Linked DNA regions of Drosophila melanogaster. The protein of the gene in region 1 interacts with the protein of each later gene in a pairwise test. Each region holds a gene or a part of one and is shown on either strand. Other genes may lie near its edges. The genes, in order: RpS9, CG14506, EDTP and CG32772.

Region 1 (3,759 bases):
AGAGCAATATCCGATATTCTATATGTTTCACGATTCCCTAATGGCAGCCACCAATGCCAACCACTCGTGTCCATATACAGTAAGTACAAACATGTATCTCAATTGTTATTTCACGTCAAGTAACACCATAACACCATATTTTATGCCCACAGGAGAAGGATATTTATGTGAAGAAAATGACTTTCAACGATAAGACGCTGAAGGATCTGTTATCCTTTTTACCTGTTGGTGAATACAAACTTGTGGTGTCTGTTGGGGCTTTTGGAGTCTGGCGATTGCAGGTCAACTTGTTTGGAGTGCGTGATTAATAATGGGATTGTTAAAATAATAACCAAAACAGTTTAAAATTAAGTCGATCTGAGATCAGAAAAATCAATATTAAATAATCAAAGCAAACCAGCCGTCAAATCGGACTACAGCGTAGTCATCCATCGATGAGGCAACATGAAAGAACAGCTATTAAGTTTAGTGCTCCCGTTACTCATCATATTGGATTGTAGCCAGGGGAGGGTGTTCAGAGTCAGCAAGATGGAGTGTCGATCCTTGGATCCATCGTTCACCTACTTTAAGACTTGTAAAGTGGTTCGCAGGGAAAATGGTCGAGCTGCTCTCTATGTTAGTGAGGTGTTTCTCTACAAAGATCCAATTGATGATATCGTTGTAAGTTGAAAAGTAAACATTTCTGAAGAAATAAATGAATACCTATTTTACAGCTTAACCTTGGTGTTTTTAGAATAGCTAAAAATCGTCGTTTTCAGTTCCTGAATGAGACTTTGGACTATTGTCTTTTTAGTCGGCAGTATTTGGCCAGTGGATTTTTTGGATTTCTGATGACTCCACTGTTGAGAATCTCAAACTTGAATGCTACATGTCCGCTTCAGGTGAGATCGAATGGGTTGATGATTGATTTTTGTCATTGATGGTATAACCTTTAGCAAAATATAACTTTCAACGGCTTTTCTGTTGATGAAAACACAATAAAGGAGATTCCAATTCCAAACGGTGTTTACATGTTCCACTTGCGATCGTCCCTGATGAAAAAATGGCGGACAGACGTGAAAGTCTATGCTACGCGAGTTAATAATTATTCGGAATAACTGATAAATTGGTTTACATACTTAATAGCTCAATCTAATAAAGGTCTACAGTATTTCTTACATTGGAACTACATCTTAAATGTATTCAATATTTGACACAACATTGGTATACGTATACGTACTGTATAACACTTACATTGAAATTACATTTCATGCAATATACATTCGACACAGCACTTTCAGGCACATCATTAGAAAAGACGCCACTTTGAGAAGTTGAAGTTGAGAAGAAGAAGTATCGTAAAAAATTAAATATTTTCCGCAATGGGATTGTATTTTAACTAATTAAAAGTTTTTTCTTATTTTTTTTCCATACATTAATTACATTTAAAACTTTTGCTTAGTTAACCACTCATAAATTTCATAATGTATAATTACATGTCAAATCTCTAGTGGTTAGCGATAGAGTGACCGTTTAGTTTCCGTGGTAGGATTATGTGTATTTCTATCAAACACTTTGGTCACACTACCTTCACCCCTCTTTCTTTTTCTAAACGTGAGCAAAACCGTAAGTACAAAATATGAGCTCCGCAAAAACTTTGAAAAAGTACATGATAATGTTCAAGATAAAGAACAAATTCGCCTACTTAGGTCTGAATCGATTGTTGGTACGCTGAATATTTCAAAGTTTTTGCGAAATAGACTGACGATGGTGCAGATACGCAGTGATTTCCGAACCGAATTTAACCTAACTTTTGCCTTGCAGTGCTCGGTTGAATTGTCGGAACCATGGTGAACGGCCGCATACCCTCGGTCTTCTCGAAGACCTACGTGACTCCCCGTCGCCCCTATGAGAAGGCGCGTCTGGACCAGGAGTTGAAGATCATCGGCGAGTATGGTCTGCGCAACAAGCGCGAAGTGTGGCGCGTCAAGTACGCCCTGGCTAAGATCCGTAAGGCCGCTCGTGAGCTGCTGACCCTCGACGAGAAGGACGAGAAGCGTCTGTTCCAGGGTAAGTACCAGGCACACACATATATTCAGTCGAACTTCCTCAAACAGCAGCCTACTAGTTCCCGACTTTTAGAGCCACTTCTAAACTTTGTTAATTGCTTTGATTAATCGTAATTAATTAGTCGTAACAACCCACGTGTAAAGCTGTTGACCGGATTTATTCCATTGTATATTGCAAAATTGCATGTTTAAATGTCTAGACAGTATGTATATGCGAAGGAAGTTCGACTGCATAATCCAATTAGTTGCCCTGACCTGATGAACTGTATTAAAAAATATATTCTGACACTTCTTGTCTGATAAAATACGTTGACGTTAACAAATACACACTGAAGAGAATTCTTCGCTAGAACTAGCGATTGCATTTTGAAACTTCCATTGATTGTGTACCCATTTTACCCACAGGTAATGCCCTGCTGCGCCGTCTGGTCCGTATCGGTGTCCTGGACGAGTCCCGCATGAAGCTCGATTACGTGCTGGGTCTGAAGATTGAGGACTTCTTGGAGCGTCGTCTGCAGACGCAGGTGTTCAAGCTGGGACTTGCCAAGTCCATCCATCATGCTCGCGTCCTGATCCGTCAGCGTCACATTCGGTAAATATCGCTTGGACAGGCGACAACATCGTCGCCAGGCTCTCTCAGATATAAACTCTGTTCTGTTCAGTAAGACCACTTGGGAGTCGAACAGGCGCCAATGCTTGTACCGACTCTCAACGTCTGTAGATTGCGCATGTGACTCCGTTCACACCAATCGAAAATGCAAAATGCCCGCCTAGCGTAAGTTGCACTGAACGTTTTTTGTTGAACCCAACATACATAGCAGCCACCATTCCGATGGTTATCATAAAGCAGAGCTTAACTAATCCAAATATGGTGTTCTTCTTCCGTTTGTTTTCACAGTGTCCGCAAGCAGGTGGTCAACATCCCGTCGTTCGTCGTGCGCCTGGACTCCCAGAAGCACATCGACTTCTCCCTGAAGTCGCCCTTCGGCGGCGGCCGTCCCGGTCGCGTCAAGAGGAAGAACCTGAAGAAGAACCAGGGCGGTGGCGGTGGAGCTGCTGAAGAGGAGGAGGACTAAGCAGTGGTAGCCAGCTGTAGCCAAGACAAATACATGGCGCAGACTTGATAAAAATCCGTTTGCTTTACACAAATAAATGTAAAAATACACGAAGTTGAATGTGTTTCAATGCGCATGTTTGTTTATAGAATGGGTTAAGCCGAAGATGATATCGAAATATATGCAAATAAGACATTGAAGTTTTAAACAAAAACAAAAAAAGTTATATGGTTAATGTAAAGATTATTTTCTTTTTTAATATTGCTGAAATAAAAAAAAGCAGTATTTATCGATACCCGGTCAGAGCTGCAATTCCAGATAAGGCTCCAGTGTGCCCAGAGAAGTAATCTAACGAAATGCTGCCGTTATCAACTTAGTACTCGTTATTTCCCGAGCTTTCGTGTGCTTCGCCAGCAAAATTGCCATTCTCACAAAACGAACGTTTGAAAATCACTTGAGATTCGGGTAAACACAAACTCCAAGTGACGAGGAAGAACAGCAGCCGGAATAAATCGCGTATAAATAGTGTGATAAGCAAGTGTCGCCGAAATGCCGAAACCCGGTGACAAGGCGAAGGTGAAGGTGAACGTCAAGGAGCGGGTGGTGGACGAAACCTGCGACTTGAGTCTCTCCGAACTGAGCGAAATACCGGTGCG
Region 2 (5,894 bases), on another chromosome or scaffold:
CTAAGTTCTTGGTTCCGGGGTGACTGGGAAAGTCTTGAATGCAAATGTGTGCCTGTCTCTGATTTGTAATCAAATTAAATTTGTGTTTGGTACAAACAATGAGCGACAGACGACAACATCTCGCATCCGTGATAAAAGCCGAAATTCCTGGTAGACACCAAAGTCAGGCCGGAAAATGCAGTTTTCCCACAGTTGCCGCACGGCTCCAATCGCAACTTCTAGGGAAACTCCCTCACCACCAGAGCTGCGCTGGTGAAAACCTCATAAATTCTCACTTTTTGGCAGGCCGCACACGGCGAGGGAAATTCGAGGCGGCAGGACTCGAAGGACACAGCGCCAGGCGATGAATAGACATTCCCGAGATAATCAACGGCATTATCTTCTGATTATTATGTGTTCTTGGGGCATTTCAGGGAATTTCGTTATGATGAAACTCGCAAAAAATATCGAACTATATCCGGGATGATCGGCGGATGATGAGGATGCCGGGACACCCGGTTGAGTGGCTGAGTATCCGCTTTCCTTTCTCCTCTCTCGTTTAGTTTTTTTTTTTTTCGCAAATTCTCTGTGAGCTCATCATAATCATCATCAAACCCTCGGTCACTTGAGGTTTAAGCCAACATTAAAAAAGAGCCGAAAAAACACCCAAAGACGAAGGAAATCGCCGAAATGAACGTGAGAACACTGAATGTCCTCGTACCGAAATTTGCTTGGGCTCCTCATTGTTCGTTGAAGTGCTCGAGAGAGATTTGCTAGTTGTGTCCTTATTGTTTGCGGGCGAATGTTCATGAATGAATCAATGAATGCCTGAATGGCTAAACGGCTGAAGTTCACGTCCGCACAAAGTATCCGAGTATCTGAGGGATATTGCCGCGTTTTTAGCTGGAATCCCGGATGCAGTCGAGGCGTGAGAAGGAGGCGATCTCTGCGGCCTTGGCAACAAGTCTATTAGTCCGCCATGGTCCACTTGTTTATGGCTTACGTAACCTGGGTGGCAAAGGATGTGCAGGATCTGCACTGGCAGATGGATTCGTGAAAGGGATGCGCGCCCTGATTTCTGCGAGTTGGGTAAACATTCATCGCATCCGGTGCACCCTTGACCGATTGCGAATGCAAATCGCACATTAGAAGCCATGTGCAACTTTCCGCCCAGCAGTCAAACATTATGCAACCGAAACCGAAGGCCGCCCAGTCCATTGATGGCAAATGACAGGGAAACCCATTCGGGACACGTTTTTATGGAGGTGCGAAATGGCACATTTTTTCGACGAAACCTGCCGCGTCATTGAGTCGTCGTCCTTTTTACACCGGCTATGTGCAACCTGAACAACCTGTGCAAGCCTTGCAATTTGTCACCTGAGGCGACATTCAAACTGCCAACGCATTCCAGCTGGGTTTTTGCCTTTGGCCTACTGGTTCCTTTCATTTGGCCACGATTTGGTGGCAACAGTTTCATGAATCGCAGCCGGAATGCCGACCGTTACGAATATTCATTCATGGCACGGCAGCCACTCTGGGGACCTTAAATGGGGCTTTGACTTTGATCCTACAGTTTCATAAAATATTTATGAAATTTCCGATGAAAATATTTGTGCTCAGTTTGGCAAATCATTTCCTTGTGCGAAACGGATAAAAATTTTCCCAGGCCTCGATGAACTGAAAGTGCAATTTTCATTTATGCAATGGGAAAGGTTTGAGTAGGTTTGACTTTTAAGGATTTGGGGAAACCTCAGGGGAAAGACTTTAGATTCTGCGTAAAAATTAGGGAATTTATTTCTATGAATGGCAATTTTTAAGGGAAAACTCCCCACTTCACCACTCTTATAATAAATAGTCATTGATCAGAGTTGGCTTTGGGTTTGTCTATCAACCAAGTATATTTCAACTTGGCTTTAAAAAGCATGGATAGTTCATGGAGCTCCTTGATTTCCCTAGAACCCCTGGGAGTGACCAACACGCCATTGGACTTGCCTGGACTTGATTCGTGTCCTTCGCCAAAAAGAGCAAGGATTAGTGAATCCCAGCTGGGGGAAGCCATGCCCAGGGAACCAGCTAGTGTCTATGGGGAAAAGGCAGGTGAGAACGGCTATCGGGGACTTTAAGCTTCTCACGGACTTTGAATTATCCACAATCCTAGCAAATTTCCATTCCCTACAAGAGAAGGTGAAAACGTACCAACCTGGCACAGTGGTAGTCCAGCCACCCGAACGACGGCCTCCCGAGCCGGAACACGATCGCCTGATGTTCATTCCCGACCTAGACCAGGACATTACCCATCGGGATGTGTTCACCTATTTCAGCAAATTTGGGGATTTGGAGAGGGTCAGCGTGAGGAATGGCATGAGTAACTTTAACTACGCCATGGTGCGGTTTAGTCGCACTTCATACATGGAGCATGCCATCGAATCGAATCCACATCTGATCAAGGGATACCGATTGAACTGTCGCAAGGCGAAAGAAAAAAGTACAAATAAGGGAAGTCAGCAAAACTCTGGGACCATAAAAAAACCAAAGGCAACGATAACGCAGCCACACAAAGCTCCTGTAAGGCAGGCAGAGAAAAACGACGCCAAACAAAGTGGTCACAAATCTTTAGAGAAGAATTCGAAGCCACCAATTAACAGATCATTGCTTCTTCAAAAACTGGTAGAACCCACGTCCTATAGTCCATTTACCGCCGTAAAATCTGATCGAAACTATGCCTATGCATTAACCAATGACATTGGAATCTCCCGCTGGAGCTTTAACTTGTTGAAATTCGAACCCAGTTCAGACGAGGTGAGGGCCCTGGAAAAGGGTCTTTCCAGTTCGGCAAAGCTCCTACTGAGCATACGGAAGAAACTGGCTGCCGTGCCCCACAAGTCTGTCGAGCCACCAGCTCCAAAGTGGCCACAAACTCCTAGTGATAAAGCCGTTCCAAAAGTTACTCTTAAGATAGCTCCACCAATTCCTGCCTCTAGTCCAGTGCTCCCATCCCTGCCACAAACTCCTAGTGATAAAGCCGTTCCAAAAGTTATTTTTAAAATACCTCCACCACCTCCTGCCTCTAGTCCAGTGCTCCCATCCTTGCCGAGCCTTCTGCCGATCACTCCCCTAGTGCCTAAGCCCAAACCTGTTCTTCGAAAAGTTTCCAAGTCAGATCTCCGCTACGCCGTTCTAGCCAGTTTGGGTCAGAACTATGTCCATCACTGCTACACTAATGTGGCAGCTTATCGGCGGACCAAGAACTACGTCGACCTACAGCTCAGCGAGATGAAAGACCGACCCAGCATTTCGATGTTTGCGGATCAGATGTACGCACAGAAAGAGTAGGAATTACCAAATGCAAATCATATCTATCATATCATATATCATTCAATATAACAATAGTTAAGCAATATTTCCCAAGAAACTTCAAAGAACACTTTCATTATAAGGAAATGGCATACATTACATAAGTCGGACACTTTCTAAATTGAGGGAAGCCGAAGGATGTGACTTAGATTCCTGGAAGATATGAATGGAGCTGCTTGAATGAAACGTGAACATATTACACAAAAAGTTCCAATTCCAATTCAAAGGCACTTGAATCGCAGCAACCTGTCAACATAATTAATCCCCTGGATCAGCTGATGACGGTACTGCCCCTGACCGAATGATACACAAAATATGAACAATTCCTAGAGGGGGCGCGGGAATGCGATAAATGCGATGAAATAGGGGGCCTTGATTTCTGTAGCGCGGCCTCTGTTCTGCCCGACATTCCCAAGGATGTGCCTCCAAAAACCTGGCTTTCTTCTTGCTGGGCCGTGTTAATTGTCCAACATTGTGTGAGCGTGGACGTGAACAGGTCGGGTGCCATTAACAATCTTAACAACGATCCACAGCCACGGCCACGGCGATCCCACGGCTTGTCGCCTTGTTTCTCGAGCAGTTTTTTATGCCATTTACGAAGAAATCTTGCAACAAATCAGGAGCTCCCTTTTCCACAGTAAATACGAGTGTGCGAGAGCGACCTTTATTCGTTTGATGTTAAAAAAATTGTTCTACCTTCTCCCCCCCCCAGCACTACTTGTCTTCCTTTTTGGCCGGCCATCTCTGTGAACCTGTGACGACGCAATTCTTTGCCATTATCAGCTGCATCCTTGCAGGTCCTGCACTAGTTGCCCCCGCTCTCAATTCCGTTGCCGACCCCGATTCAATTTGGCTTTTATTGGGATCTCGGGCATCCCGATCCCGATCCCGATGCGATCCTAATTGCGGTGGCAATAGCTCGGCGTTTAATCACTTCGTACCTGCGGCTTAGACAGTCAAACCCGGCAGTCACTCATCGCGGCGGAGGCGGATATGTAGTAGAGCTGCACATATAAATGGGTATATGGTCCTGCAAATGGATCGACCTCGATGATTTTCACCAGCCAAATTGCGGCTTTGTGTTGCCTTTTCCCATTTGCCGGTGGATACATTTGGACTGGATCGTTATCTGGTTCTCTTTGTGCTTTCAAGGTTTATGGTCTAGCACACATATATTTCCTGTGAGAACAAATCCCAGTCCTGATGACCCCCGTAAACAAACCCGGTGAACATGGAACATCCCGACTAACAGCAACAACATCGGTGTCTTCCACTAAGTATTCGAATTCCCCTTCCAATTTTTGTGGGGCGATCGTGTACTCGCGGGCTGAAAAATCTACATAATGACAGGGCCACGCCGAAAACTAGTTCAGATCGCAAATTACGAACCGGTAAGGGATGGGATGAGATATACATGCATGTGTGTGTTGCAGTTCCCATTCAGGACACTCGGGACAGGACATCGAGCGCAACGGGAGACGCGGCGCGTTGAGGTTCGGCAAAGGTCATGTCAGGACTTTGCATAAAATGTTTGAAAATGTTTTCATTATGGTAAGTAGACACAAAAGTCCAACACACGAGCGATTCCCACCGAAAGGGGTGTCCTTTCCCAGCCCATCCCAGCCCGTGCGCCCAGGATCCTGGCATATATTGGTGATAAATTAGTTTAATGTTCGAAGCACCAAACTCGCAAGAAGCACACGAAAAAAAAAACACTCAACCGCAGCTGAGGCGGCAAAGTTTGGCAGGAAAATCCGACCTACCGTTTTTGGCGGCATTTTCCCGACATATACGTGTCCATCGAAATGAACTCGAGTCCTGGCAACTAATGAACTACGCAAACAATAGCTCAATGGCTACGCTTTAAGGAAAAAACGACGTAAAAATCACGTCTTGGAAATTTTCACATCGTTGATCTTAAATGGAAAATTACACTTCTCTAGCTGGACAGTGCAGGACAAACAGGATAGAATAGCGATCAGGACATGACACAATTGCAGTTTGCAGGACAATTGTTGCACTCACGCACGTGCAATGTGTTCCTGCAACTCGGTGTCTCTGGATTTCGAAGTCGAGTGCGCAGGGCCACGCCCATTGTGTGTCCCAGTGGCCGACTATATAGTACAGTGCGTTTCGTGAATGAAGCGACCAAAGTTACGAGTTACTTTGAATAGCGGCGGCGGTGGCAAGTGGATCAGATCCTGCGACAATGGCCTTTGTGTCCTTTGTCTTCCGCCTTGTTGGGGGTGTGCGGTGTTGTTGCAATTTTAGTGTAATTTTATTGTTATTAATTGTATGAAATGGGTTTTTAAATGGCCTTTGTCTAGGCCAATGAATGGCCATAGTCATAGTAAAAACGTGCCTTGTTAAAGGCATGTAATATCATAGGTTTTTTATTTTTAGCGGGACAAATAAATCTAGTAATTGTAACAAGAGTTATATTGTTTCCACACATTTCGCAGCAGTTTAGAGCACTTTCCTTTTAAACGAAAAGGAATGACTTTGTGTTACAACAACTATCATGTTATCAAAGCGGAATAATAAGTTTTTAAAGTAAATAA
Region 3 (4,948 bases), on another chromosome or scaffold:
TGGTCAGGAGACACTTCAAGGAGGATCTGATCGTGCAGTCGGATCTGGCCAAGCCCGGATGTCCCCGGATGTACTTTTTGAATCACGAACTGCCGGGCAATGAATTCACTCTGTTTGAGGTTACTTTCCTGTGTTTCTGTCACTTCTGAAGATCGTAACCTTTTTTGAATCTCTGTAGAACGGCTCTCTTCTGCGTCACTGGGACAAAGTGGAACTGAGCAAGCGGGAGTACTGCGTCCAGCATCTTTCATTTAAGGATGATAGTATCCGAATTGCACCCCACTTCTGTCCACTTTCGTCTGAGCACTCCAGAACGTGGAAGACCGTTGGTAAGCTGAATTCCCTGCTTGACTTTAAGGTTTTTAGTTAATGTCCTTTCTCACAGCGATAGTGATATCCTTGATATGCATAATCCTAACGATCAGCGTGTACCTCTATGTCGAGAAGCTTCGCAACCTGCACGGAAAGTGTTTCATCTGCTACTTGGCCTCTTTGTTCTTGGGCTATTTCTTCCTGGTCCTCAACGTGTGGAAATACTCCTCCGGCTTCTGCGTTACAGCAGGTTTGCTTGTGGCGATTACAAGATAAAGGACGACTAATTTCACATTTCGATATCATGATCAGGGTTCCTGGGCTACTTCTCCGTCATGGCCGCGTTCTTTTGGCTTTCTGTGATTGGAATCCACTTGCGGATTAAGTTTAGTCTAGCCTCTAACTGTTTGCACCGATTGCTGCCAGAAAATCCGTTCCGTGCATACAACTTATACGCCTGGGGTATACCGCTAATCATGACTGCAATCACCTATACAGCTGACCAGGTGGTTAAGAACGAGAAGTTGAGACCCCGCGTGGGCGTCGGCAAAAATTGTTGGATCTACAGTAAGTTACTATTCCTATAATTACAATTACGGTGTAACTCGTTTTGTTAACCAACAGCTGGCGATATGACTGTCATGATCTACTTCTATGGCCCGATGCTGTTGCTAATCGCTTTCAACATAATAATGTTTGTCCTTTCGGCGATTTACATATATAACATAAAGAAAAATGTGAAAGGCCTTGTCCACAAGCAACAAACAAACCAACAGATAAATGACCAACAAATGTAATTATATTATATTATAAGATAATAACTATAATGTCAAATGGCACTTTTTGTAATCTTTTATAGGTTTGCTATATTCCTGCGACTTTTCATCTTAATGGGTTTGTCGTGGAGCTTTGAGATATTATCCTTTTTGTTAACCAAACAGCAAGCTTGGGCTAGGGCTTTAATGGTGGCTGACTACTTTAATTGGTCCCAGGGTACCATCATATTCGTGCTTTTTATTTTAAAGCCTAGCATTCTAAAACTTATAATAGCAGGGTAAGTAAAGTATTACAAATAACCTTGAAATTTGACCGTCTCATACGTATGAACAATCTTTTGATTTAGGGGACGTCAAAACCTCCCAGGAAGTCACCATAATTCGAGATCAAAAGCAGCTCGATATAATTCAACTCATACGGCTTGTGAAGGATCAATTGCGGATCCAAACGCTTACTGCTAAAAAAATGGAATTCAATAAGATGCAACGTCTCTGTTATTGATCACATTATTTTAATTTTCTATGGAGCAAAAGTTTAAAAAAAATATTTGTTATCAAGACAATAAATAATGTCTTGGAACATATAAAGCAAAATATATTAAAGGGTACAAAAAACAGGAAAAGTATGGGGCAATACAGCAAAATATTTTTCGGATCATCAACTTTTTTGTAAGACAAAATGTAGAAATATTTCTGGCACCGTTGTTTCAAACCAGGGTTTGAGTCAACAATGCTGGCCCACCACTGGCAAGTACCAAACGATTACAGAAAACTTTTTCTAATCGATTAAGCATCGGGGGTCATCGATGTTTCTCCACCACTACAATTTCATGTTGTTTTTTTAGTCGCGGCTGTTTGACGTTTGTCGCTTTCCTCCGTTGCGAATATAATATATTACGTAGCTCATTTTTATACAAACGGAATTACGAGCGCAACGACGACAGCAACACTAGTAGCACTAATCGTAAGCGCAGGGGCCAAAAATTAAATTGCGTTTGCGGCCGCAAAGATTTGATGACGTCGCATACGCCGTCTTCTAGGGCGTAAAAAGCAAAGCAAAGCAAACAAACGCGAAAGCGAAACGTGTAAACGGCGTAGAAGCGATAAACGCGACTCAAATACGCAGCAGATAAAATACAATACGCGAGAAGAGAAAAGTCACGGGAAATATTGTTCATATTCGGCGTCTTTCTGCGAGCGTAAACGTGTGTGCGTGGGCTTGTGCTTTTGCCAGTGTCGTGTGTGTTAAGTGCCTGTGTGTGTGTGTGATTAAGAAGATATAAAGGAATATAACGGTAAATGCAGCGCCGCAAAAATGTGCAGCCTGACGCCAAACCACATGGTAAACGTAACGCAGCAGCACCTACACGATCTATTGGAAACTTTCGAAAAAAAGTCCTTCGAGGCGGCGGCCTTTGAGGAAGGGACGGCGGTAAGTTAACGGTACCAGTGTGTGCTTGTGTCTGTGACTGTGTGTGTGACATACATTTAGGCGCACGTGCACGTGCTGCCGCCGCAAAAACACGCAGACACACACACACCCATGCATGATATGCCTGTTGTGCTAGTGTGCGTGGCGCTTACACCGAGGACACGTCATAATGTCCTGTCCTCCTATTGCTCTTATTCTCTTCCCTTTCTTGCGCTCCTCTCCCTCGCCGTCTTCCTTCTGCCGCGCCCCGAAAATACTGAGCCACTCAAAATGGCTGCCATTAAGCTTCCTGCGAGGAAAATCGCATTTTCATGGCAATCAATAGGCGGTAAAACATGTCGTTTGAAGGACTTAATGGTTCGTTTTCTCAAAGAGCAGAATTAATCACGGGATAGCTTTTCCAATTTGGTAGTCAATCAAGGTTGTTACCTATAAGAGCACTAATCACTAATTAAAATATCTTTTTTAAATAAGATGAGCAATAAACGGTATTTTTGTATAATTTCTATTAACATACATTTTATGGTCCTAATATTATTTAATTTAATTGATTTTTCTATTCCGTTTCTTAGCAAATTTTTAATTAATTGATAAGAATTAAATATTAAGTTTCAGCTTTCAGAGTTCCTTATCGAGTTGCATTCATTTTGATTATTAAATCAATTTCAACTAGGAAATCCCGAGTAAGCAGGTTTTCCGAAACCGGAAACTTCCTAATGGCTTTTGTTCTCGAATTGCCATTGAAACTCAATATCCCACTAAGCTGTGCTAAGCGATAATTAAAAGCCTAACAACGGCCTTTTTAGGCCCGCCCCTGACCCACGCATAAATGTGCATTTTCTTTCCACGACACGCACTCGAATTCAACTTTTGTCTTTTGCCTTCAGCTCATCCCCTTGCACCCGTTCATCCATTTTACCCCCCTCGAATGTCACGCACGCCTTTTAAATAGTCCAGTGTGTAATGCCATCTTATCGCCCGCTTAACCGGCAATAACACAGAATAACAATTGTAATGGCAACTTGGCAACAGCCGCTGCTCATTTGCATGCCAGTGCTGGTGAATATATTTAAGCCAAATCCCCGAGCCAGGCTGCCTGGAAACAGAGCGAGGAAAGCCAAGTGGGAACTTGGCACGTAACTCACGTTTCCGCGACGATCTTACATCGGTTTGTTCAGCTGCAATCGGCACATAAATATGTACATACATACATACATATGTGCATACTTACTTGTGAATGTTTAACCGCTACCGCAAACTTTGTTGCAAACGTATGTTTTTATCAAACAATGGCTAGGTCTTATCACCAACCAGGGCGCCAACCTTCGATTTGATTTTCCACAAGTATTTTCCTATTCCTTATCTATCTGCCAGCTATTCGAAGGCACAAACAAAACGCTGCTACTGCCCCTTGATACAAAGCATTGCATTTTTGATGGGGTGCAAAGGGTGAATTATGTGTGCGCTTCTCTCTCACTTGTTTATTTCCCAGTCTCCTCGGGGTTCAGGGTTAAGTTTAGCCACACCGATTAGATTAGGCGTTCGCCCAGCCAAAGTCACAATACCTAAGCAAATGACGTAGGCAGGCGATGAGGTTTATAGCTTACAGAGAACGTATGTAAGAACCATTAAATGGGTTAAATATACGAGCTAATAAGGTCAAAATGGCATTTAAATTGCAGCTAAAGATAATATTGCTACCTGAAATATATTTGGAAATCTTTAAATTGAAATTGAAGAGCTTTCCAAATTCATAAGTTTTACTCCTCGTCTTATCGCAGCAACCAAAAACAAGCAATCCTCTTAAAAGGACTCAGAAAAAAATCGAGTGAATAATAAGATTGAGTTTGCTCCAATTTACATCAAGACATGGAAATATTTAATATTCAACATCCATCAAAAAAAATTACACTTATTTATGTTGGTTCACCACAAAAAAAAATACATTTATATATGTAGATTTGCTAAAAAAAAAAAATCAACGTACATTTAAAAAGTTTCGCAGTAGACGCCGACCGACAATCGTTGGACAATTATTGTATGCTTATGGACTTAGAAACCCTGGAAACTCCGGCGGAACTCTTCCTCGAAATCCGCGTGGCCAAGATCAAGCTTGTGGTAGTCGGTGAATCCCTCGCGATCCAGCTTGGCCTGGGCCCAAAGGATTAGCTTGATGAGGAACATCATTCTTGGCTCCATGGGCTCCTCTTTGCTCTTACTCTCATCCTCGTGGCAGCGTAACATGGCTGCATTCATTTCACCGGCCACCTTTTGGCGATATGAGTAGTACATCAGCTCCCCGTAGGGACTGTATTCCGGCCGATCGAAGGCCAGCAGACCCATGGTCCGCTCCACTTCGTGGTAGTGACTTGGATCGACCTTGGAAAAGCCCGCTGCCTTGCTCTGGGCAAACTTCAAGGCCTTCTCC
Region 4 (8,022 bases), on another chromosome or scaffold:
ACGATCGTTTGGAACGACCCATAACTTATTCGGAAACTGGCCAGCGGCTACCGGTGGACGTCTATATGCGCGCCTACATCTACTTCATGCAGAACCTGGAAGCACACGATCTACAGTTCAAGATCTATGCGCTCCTCCAAATGCGATACCTCGATCCGCGTCTCAACTTTCGCAACGTAAGTCCCAAGCGCAGGCAGCCGATTTTGGGCGAGGAGCACCTGAGAAACTCGCTCTGGATGCCCCACATATTTCTAGCCAATGAGCGCGACTCCAGTATTTTGGGTGAGTACGGTAGAGTCTGGAGTAGACTCGTGCTTGATTGCAACTAATTGGTAGGTCTCACGGAGAAGGACATCCTCACCTCGATATCGCCCGATGGCACAGTGATCGTTTCGAATCGCATCAAGGCGACACTCTATTGCTGGCTCAACCTTAAGAAGTTCCCATTCGATGAGCAGCACTGCTCGACGGTGCTGGAGAGTTGGATGTACAATACGTCGGAACTGGTCCTCCACTGGGAGCAGAAGCGTCCGATAACCTACGATGGGGCACTGCATCTCACCGAGTTTGTGCTGCAGCGTTCCTGGTCAAACGAGACGGTAATCAATGCCGATTTGAGTGACCTGCGTCATGGAGCCTTTGCCGGCAACTACAGCTCCCTCAGCTTCACCGTTCACCTGACGCGAGTGGTTGGCTTTTACCTGATGGACTACTTTCTACCCTCCATGCTGATTGTGGCCATATCCTGGGTATCGTTCTGGCTGCAAGCAGATCAGGCGCCGCCGCGCATCACGCTGGGCACCAGCACCCTGCTGACATTCATTACCCTGGCCTCGGCACAGGGAAAGACTCTGCCAAAGGTTAGCTACATCAAGGTGTCAGAGGTGTGGTTCCTGGGCTGCACCATCTTCATATTTGGCAGCATGGTGGAGTTCGCCTTTGTTAACACGATTTGGCGTCGTAAGAAGAGTGTGCCCGTCAAGAAACTGAACAGCAAACACATCCTGAAGTCAACTCTATCGCCGAATCTGCTCAGACGACGCAGTCACGCCAGATCCAGATCCTTTTCGGGCACGGCTCTGCATAAGACAGCGGATACCGGCTCGCTGGGCGGTGCCGGTTTCAACAATTACCTAACCGTCAATTTGCCCATCACCACGATTAAGGAGGGCCAAGTTCTGGATCAGCAGAGGACCAGCCGCGTCGTCCAGAAGATGGATGTTAACTTTGTGGAGAGTGCCTTTGGATCCATGGGCTCTGCCCAGTCCACTGGAGCGATCAGTGCTGCCAGCAGCAGCCAAACTTTGACCAACAATAACCGAACGGAGAGCGCGGGGCACCAGGAGGAGATCGATCTGAGTGGCTGGACCACGCTAACGCCCCAGGAAATAGCCATGTGGATTGATAGTCGAGCCAGATTCGTTTTTCCGCTCTCCTTTCTCGTCTTTAATCTGTTTTTCTGGACATTTGTCTACTGTATTTAAAAAAAGGTCCATTTCATTTTATTATTAGATTACACAGTAGATTTAATATTGTGAAAAGTATCCAATTTAAAGTGTTTATTATTTGTACCCATCGTTTAGCATAGTTTGTTTAATTATTGTGAAAGTTTTGTATTATGTTTGTTTCACTTTGTTCTGTAAAATGATTTTATATTTATTCTGTTGTAAAATAAAGTTCATGATTCTATGGCTGCCTAAAAAACACCATCAATTATTTAAATAAAATAACCTATGATAAAATAAATCTTTCGGACTTGCAATTAAATATTAAATAAATAATAAATTAAAAAACTTGTTTTCAACAACGATTCCATTACCCGCCTCGTTTTCGATTACGGAAATCGATAGAAATATCGATAGGCCAGGCCAAGGAGCACCGGCCAAGCCAACCTGTGGGTTAGAGCAGCACAACTATACCGCGTATTCTTATCGTATTCGTTTTTTCCCCACACATACACACACACGGCTCACGCATACAGCGCAACAATAACATCGGGCCCCAAAAAAAAGGGAAAAAAGACGACGGACAAAAACTTCGTCGTGAATTGTAAAATACAAAAAAAAAACGCATTCGAACGCGCTGGTTTGTTTTTTTTTTCACGTGTAACTACGCCAAAAAAAGGGCAAAGGAATTAAGCAAAAAAAAGAAGCAGAACTTCGAAGCAGCAACAACAACAGCGCCGCATTTTTGCTTGTATGTGCAAGTGCAAGGCAAACATAAACAACGCGCGTGTGTGTGTGTACCACGAAAATATCGTATAAATCAAATTTCTATATCATTTATATAGTTTTTTTTTTGTTTTTGCCATCATAATATGCCATATAGCGATCACCGAAATCCAAACGCAAACCAAACTCCAAAAAGTTAGTTTCAAATACAACCACACATCGTTTGGATCGTGTTCACAAACTTATAGTAGGAAGGAAAAGGAAAAAGATAGAAAAAAAACGAACTAAATAATAATAAACGAAAAAGAAAAACGGCGCTGAATGTTAACCGGTAAAGATAGCGGTAAATTGCGAGGGAGAAGGACGACAACAACAACAACAACGACCGCAGAGGGGGCAAAAGTCAGCAACAAAGTGCATCCTCCTTCTCCTGCTCCCCATCCTATTCCTTATTTACTGTTATAATGGACACCATCTGTAGATTGTGCTTCCAAACGGCAACGGTATGTTAACAAAAAAAAAAAGATATACACACATGTGATTTAGGTATATACACTTTGTTATTTCTATTGATTTTTTTTCTTTTGGTGGAGTTTAAACAATTGAATTCGCGCTACTGTTATTGTGCGGGCGGGTTGTTGGCGCAGGGGGCGGGGTTCAAAAGCGCGCGCATTGCCCCCCTTTCCCCACACACATACAAACGCACACACACAGAAATAAGAAATACACATACACATGCGACCCCAAACTATTGCTGAACAATTTTTATTTTTAGCCAACTCAGCCCGAAAAGTTGTTCAAGCCGACAACTTGAAAAAATATTATTTTTACATTTTGCTTACGCTCGCCACTCGCTTTTCACTTTGACTCCTTTTCAACCTATTCCCCCGAACAGGCCCCCCTCTTTCAGCCCCCTCCCGCCGCCCATGAACCGCACAAAAAGAAATACATATTAAAACAAAATGACAGAAATTGCGCCAAGGCAGCCAAATACGCAGTGGCTGCGCGTTAATTTAGTGACAGAGGGTTTACTATATTGGGCATCTAAGCCCAAAAATTTAAAGTTAAGCGGTTATAAAACTAACAAAACAGATCTAACTTTGCTTGGTTTTTAGTTCATTATTTAAACAATTACCAAATAACCCCTTTTTTGTAGGCGACGCCTCTGCCGCCGCCGCTGGCAGAGCGGCGGCAAAGCAAAACAAAAAGCGAAAGAATAACAAAACGTTGTACCGAAGAAAAAAAATAACATGAAATGAAAACAACAACAACAAAGCAACGAGCTGCTGGTGCTGTTGTTATTGTAGTTTCTTTTCTTTCTTTTTCGCTCTCCATGTGTGCGTGCCTGTGTGTGTGCGTGTGTTTATCTTCTTGGCTCTTATTTCTAGTTGGTGGAAAAGAGAAAGGGCTAGTTGGCATGGAAGGGGGAGGGTATGTGTGGAATAAGATTGAGTTGCCACAATAAATAAAGAGCATTATTGGTTTTTTTTTTCCAATTGGAAGCACTCTCTAATTCACGTGTCCTGTTCTGTTCTATTCTATTCCCCCGCCCTACAGTTGTTCCAGGTGCCCGGCTATAGCATACCCACGTGCGTCCGCTGCTCGGAGCAGTTGACAAATAATTCCAACTTCCATCAGTCGGCGGCGGCCGCTGCAGCCGTCGCTGCCTCTGCCTCGGCCGCAGTTGCCGCCTCTGCAGCAGCGGCGGCCACCTCCTCGTCGACGGCCTCCTCCAGCGACAGCGACGCCATCGCGCAGCAGCAGCAGCATCAGAATCCGCAGCAGCAGCAGCATCAGAACTCGCAACAGCAACAACAACAACAGCAGCAAATGCAATCATCCAGTTCTTCCGAGAACCTACAGTCGCAGGACGACTCCGAAGACGTAAGTCCATTTCAGGGATTGGGATACCAAGGCAGGGAGAGTGTTGCAAAGGGCATAGTGAGTGGGTTGCACTACGTGTAGTGTTACGAGAGGCATGGCAAGAAGTGGCAGCGAATACAGTGCTGCAAAGGGCTTACTAAAGGAGATAAATAAAGTAAATAACTGAAGGTCGTTCTTATTTTCAACTAAAATATGAACGTCTTGAATATGTATATTAATATCTATGAATAAATTTAAAATTTAATCCTAATGTTTAATAGTCCACGAAAAGTGTTCTATGGTTTAGGAATCCAATCAATGCAATTGCCCATCAAACTATAAATGATTCAAAAAAATTGACAATTTAAACCTAATTACAGAGTTCACTGCAATCCTCAGTAGATGCATTGCATTTGGAATTATAGGGGTTTGAAGACCCCCATCAACCGTTTTCAGAAGAGTGCTTTACTTCCCAGGGAGTTCGACTCCTGCTCCTTTTGCTGCACTTGTTTATTATTGTTGTGCTATTTTCTCTTCATTTTCTTACATTTCACTACTACTCCCCCGCTCACAAAAGTCTTACATATACATATACATAAATGCACACGGACACACTGCACATTCATAGCCGCTGCTTTTCTTCTTCACTTCTTATTTCGCCGTTTCTTTGCATGTTCTTGTTGCCTTTCTTTTTCCATCATGCAACAGAGAATTGCAAAAAAAAAAAATGTATAAATAAATGTAAAATTGCCTTGCGACGACTTGGGAATGCTCTATTGCAGACATGTTTAGATACTATTTACTATTGCTGCTATTTACATAAATTTCAAAAAAAAAACTTCAGTACAGTCTCATTCCATCACACAGTCGACGTGGTAGTGTTGGAAAGTTCTTATAGAAGATTAAAAACGGTAGGCCCTACAGATATGCATTACAAACGGGTTAGAAAAGTGTTGAGCGTGAGAGTATTTTCTATTCCACTTGCTACATTTCGCACTGCTCATTTTCTTGTTTTCCTTTATATTTATATGTATATATATATATATATATAGATATATGTATATACACATATATTTTGTGCTTCTTTTTCCATTAATATCTGCTCTGTCGACGTCGACGTCGAAGTCGACGCAGCTCGGCGTTTTTGTGCGCTGTGTAAAGCGGAAAAAATTCATTTTCAGTTGGCGCTTTTGGTGTGTGGGTGTGCGTGGCACGCAGAAAAATAAATAAAATAATTATAATAAAAAAAAAGCTCGTGAAAAATATTAAATGTAACTCAAGTGATTCCCCAATAAACAAACTGAATTCGCACGGGAATTTGCAATCCGTTCTTTTGGCCGCCAGCTTGTTGAGCGTGAGTGGGAGTGGGAGGGCGATAGTGACACAGTGATGTGCACTTGGCTACTTATTCGTTAGAACTATATGCATATATAATGTACAGCTTAGAAAAAAGGTTTTTCGCATAAATTTATAGTAGGTTGTATTAAAGTAAAATGGCATATCATATATAATGCCTTTCTGATGGAAGGTAACCCGCGGTAGAAGGCAAGCCCTTTGCAACTAATGTTCGATTTGTTTCTTTAAGGTGGATCTGATATTCAACGAGGAGGGCTCCTGCCCGCTATGCAACAAAACTTTCTCGCGCAAATCCTCGCTCATGACGCACATACGAAATCACTCGGCGGAGCGTAAGTTTGTGTGCACCTACTGCCACAAAGGTGAGTCCCATATGCCGTTCGCACACATCATCTGGTTCTTAACAATCGATGTACCTCTTGGATTTTCAGGCTTCACGCAGGCGGCCAACTTGCGGAACCACGAACGCATCCACACGAACGATCGGCCATATCAGTGCGTGGACTGTGGCAAGACCTTCACGCAGATCACCAATTTGAACAATCACCGCCGGCTGCACACCGGCGAACGGCCCTTCGTTTGCAATGAACCGGAGTGCGGTCGCAGCTTCGCCCAGGTCAGTTCCAAGATAAATTGATAAATTGCAGAGGATTTATGATAATAACGGCTCGATATGTTCTCGCATTGCAGGTGACGAACCTGAACAACCATATGAAGTCGCACCACAAGGTGCAGCAGTACTGCTGCAACGTGTGCAACAAGAAGTTCACGCAGGTGACCTCGCTGAACCAGCACCTGCAGGCGCACGCTGGGGTCACCGGCTACTACTGTCCGCGTTGTCCGGAGAAGAACTTCAAACTGCAGTCGCAGCTGCATACGCACATGAAGACCCACGGCCTGGCCTTTCCGTACGAGTGCGACAAGTGCGACGAGAAGTTCCTGCAGCAGGCCCATCTCGACCAGCACCTCAAGATGCACGACGAGTTCAAGTTCAAGTGCGACATCTGCCCGAGTAGCTTCAATCAGGAGTCGCTGCTGAAGAAGCACGTGCAGCGCCATGTCGAGGGTCGCTACCTCTCCTGTCCGGTGGCCAATTGTGCCGAGTCCTTTGCGGTGCGCCAGCACCTCTCCAAGCACCTGCTCACCAATCACGCCCACCACGAGCTGCCGCCTCCGAAGCGATCCAAGAAGGCGGGCACGCTGCAGACGTCGCAACAGCCGCTGGCGATGATCGGCCAGCCGTTGTCACTGCAGCACACGACAGGGCAACGTAAGTGCTCACCATTCACTCATTCACTTTGAATCTCACTACGCCTTTCGTTGCATATCCAGGTGGGCGTCCGCCGAAGAACAAGAACAAGGCGACAACGCTGGCCGCCACGGCCATCAAGATCGAGATCAACGAATCGCTCCACAGCCAGCATATCAGCAATGTCAGCGGCCTGTCCATCCAGCAGCAGATCAATCAGCACATGCAGCAGCAGGCGGCACAGCAGCAGGCGCAGCAGCAGGCGGCACAACAACAGCAGCAGCAGGCGGCGCAACAACAGCAGCAGGCGGCGCAGCAGCAGCAACTGCTGCACTTGCCGATGGGACAGGCGGTCAAGGCGCGTTTCATACCCACTAAGTAGGCTAGTTAAGAATGGAAAGAAGGTCTCTTTTAGCTTAAGCCCCGAACGATCAGCTGCTAAAGTCCCTGATTAGCATAGCCATAGCCAAAGTAGCATCACATTCAGCACATACACACGTAAAATATGTTAGATATATGGCGCGGATGTTTTGGAGTCTCTGCAGATCTCTAAATACTTTTGGGTGTCTGAAGTTGATGTAGAAATCATTCTTTATATGCGTTACCCGTGGAGTTAAGCGTATGCTGGATTGGTGAAAAAAAGGTATGGAACAGGCAGTAGGAAGCGTTTTCGTCCTTGAATTCTGAATCAGAATGGAATGGGGGAGTTAGTCGAGTTCATCGATTAAAGCTAGCTTTTAGTTTTTCTGAGATGCACTTGTCCTACTCTCGCATTGAGTTCAGCATCAACTTTTTGGGTATCAGAATCCACTTAATTATCTTGAAATCGGCGAGTGGACTTCCAAAACATCCCGAATTTAGAGTCGGCGGCAAGCTGCTGGTTCAGTTTGGTGTCTGTCTCCCACTTCCTGTTTTGAATTCAGCAGCCAAAGCAATAGAGGAACCAAATGCCCCTGAATAAATTTCCAAGAATATTAGCAGCAATGCATGACATCGAAAGAGATAAGGAGAAAAAGCAGCAGCACCAGATGGACAGACAAAAACACAACTGACTTATAAAATTATGCACATAACACCCACATCTATATATACATTATATTATATAAACATGAGATCGGGTTGAGAAATCTGTAAAACTTAAATCGAATTAAAATTTTATTGTAATGCAAAGGCGCAGCGAAACGGAAAATATAATGTTGAAAAAACAAAAAAAAAAAAAAAACAGAAAGCAAATACAAATTACCTACAATTGATAGTAATTACGCATAGAGAAAAGTAACGAAAACAAGAAGTGAAAAACAATTCGATTAAATTCGGTATGTATTTATGTTAGGCATTAGCTTAAGTGTTTTTATTTTTTTTTTAATAAACCATTACAAAAAA

Evidence for each region.
Region 2: the proteins of RpS9 (region 1) and CG14506 interact in a two-hybrid assay, tested with the Drosophila melanogaster proteins (one large-scale study listed by BioGRID).
Region 3: the proteins of RpS9 (region 1) and EDTP interact in a two-hybrid assay, tested with the Drosophila melanogaster proteins (one large-scale study listed by BioGRID).
Region 4: the proteins of RpS9 (region 1) and CG32772 interact in a two-hybrid assay, tested with the Drosophila melanogaster proteins (one large-scale study listed by BioGRID).

Annotation. Positions count from the first base shown.
Region 1 is NT_037436.4:9,509,346-9,513,104, reverse strand, and holds RpS9 (ribosomal protein S9), read left to right. Parts: upstream 1-1,573; 5' UTR 1,574-1,605; intron 1,606-1,799; exon of another isoform or gene 1,800-1,803; 5' UTR 1,804-1,826; coding exon 1,827-2,049; intron 2,050-2,215; exon of another isoform or gene 2,216-2,453; coding exon 2,454-2,640; coding exon of another isoform or gene 2,641-2,644; exon of another isoform or gene 2,645-2,946; coding exon 2,947-3,124; 3' UTR 3,125-3,215; downstream 3,216-3,759. Other genes in the region: CG33702 (uncharacterized protein), read left to right, coding at 1-79, 153-308; CG33703 (uncharacterized protein), read left to right, coding at 445-660, 714-881, 936-1,097; CG3408 (uncharacterized protein), read left to right, coding at 3,653-3,759. UniProt on the Drosophila melanogaster protein: Component of the small ribosomal subunit. The ribosome is a large ribonucleoprotein complex responsible for the synthesis of proteins in the cell. Part of the small subunit (SSU) processome, first precursor of the small eukaryotic ribosomal subunit.
Region 2 is NT_033777.3:29,293,237-29,299,130, reverse strand, and holds CG14506 (uncharacterized protein), read left to right. Parts: upstream 1-1,950; 5' UTR 1,951-2,036; coding exon 2,037-2,076; intron 2,077-2,137; coding exon 2,138-3,312; 3' UTR 3,313-3,970; intron 3,971-4,045; 3' UTR 4,046-5,388; downstream 5,389-5,894.
Region 3 is NT_033778.4:17,441,908-17,446,855, reverse strand, and holds the start of EDTP (Egg-derived tyrosine phosphatase), read left to right. Parts: upstream 1-1,917; 5' UTR 1,918-2,403; coding exon 2,404-2,520; intron 2,521-4,372; exon of another isoform or gene 4,373-4,572; coding exon of another isoform or gene 4,573-4,948. Other genes in the region: mthl4 (methuselah-like 4), read left to right, coding at 1-119, 179-329, 386-562, 625-879, 937-1,105, 1,172-1,366, 1,436-1,550; CG18467 (uncharacterized protein), read right to left, coding at 4,573-4,948.
Region 4 is NC_004354.4:4,907,124-4,915,145, forward strand, and holds the start of CG32772 (uncharacterized protein), read left to right. Parts: upstream 1-1,978; 5' UTR 1,979-2,196; exon of another isoform or gene 2,197-2,328; 5' UTR 2,329-2,635; coding exon 2,636-2,674; intron 2,675-3,728; coding exon 3,729-4,055; intron 4,056-5,257; exon of another isoform or gene 5,258-5,388; intron 5,389-5,619; coding exon 5,620-5,752; intron 5,753-5,821; coding exon 5,822-6,006; intron 6,007-6,080; coding exon 6,081-6,660; intron 6,661-6,722; coding exon 6,723-7,021; 3' UTR 7,022-8,022. Other genes in the region: CG6927 (uncharacterized protein), read left to right, coding at 1-282, 337-1,484.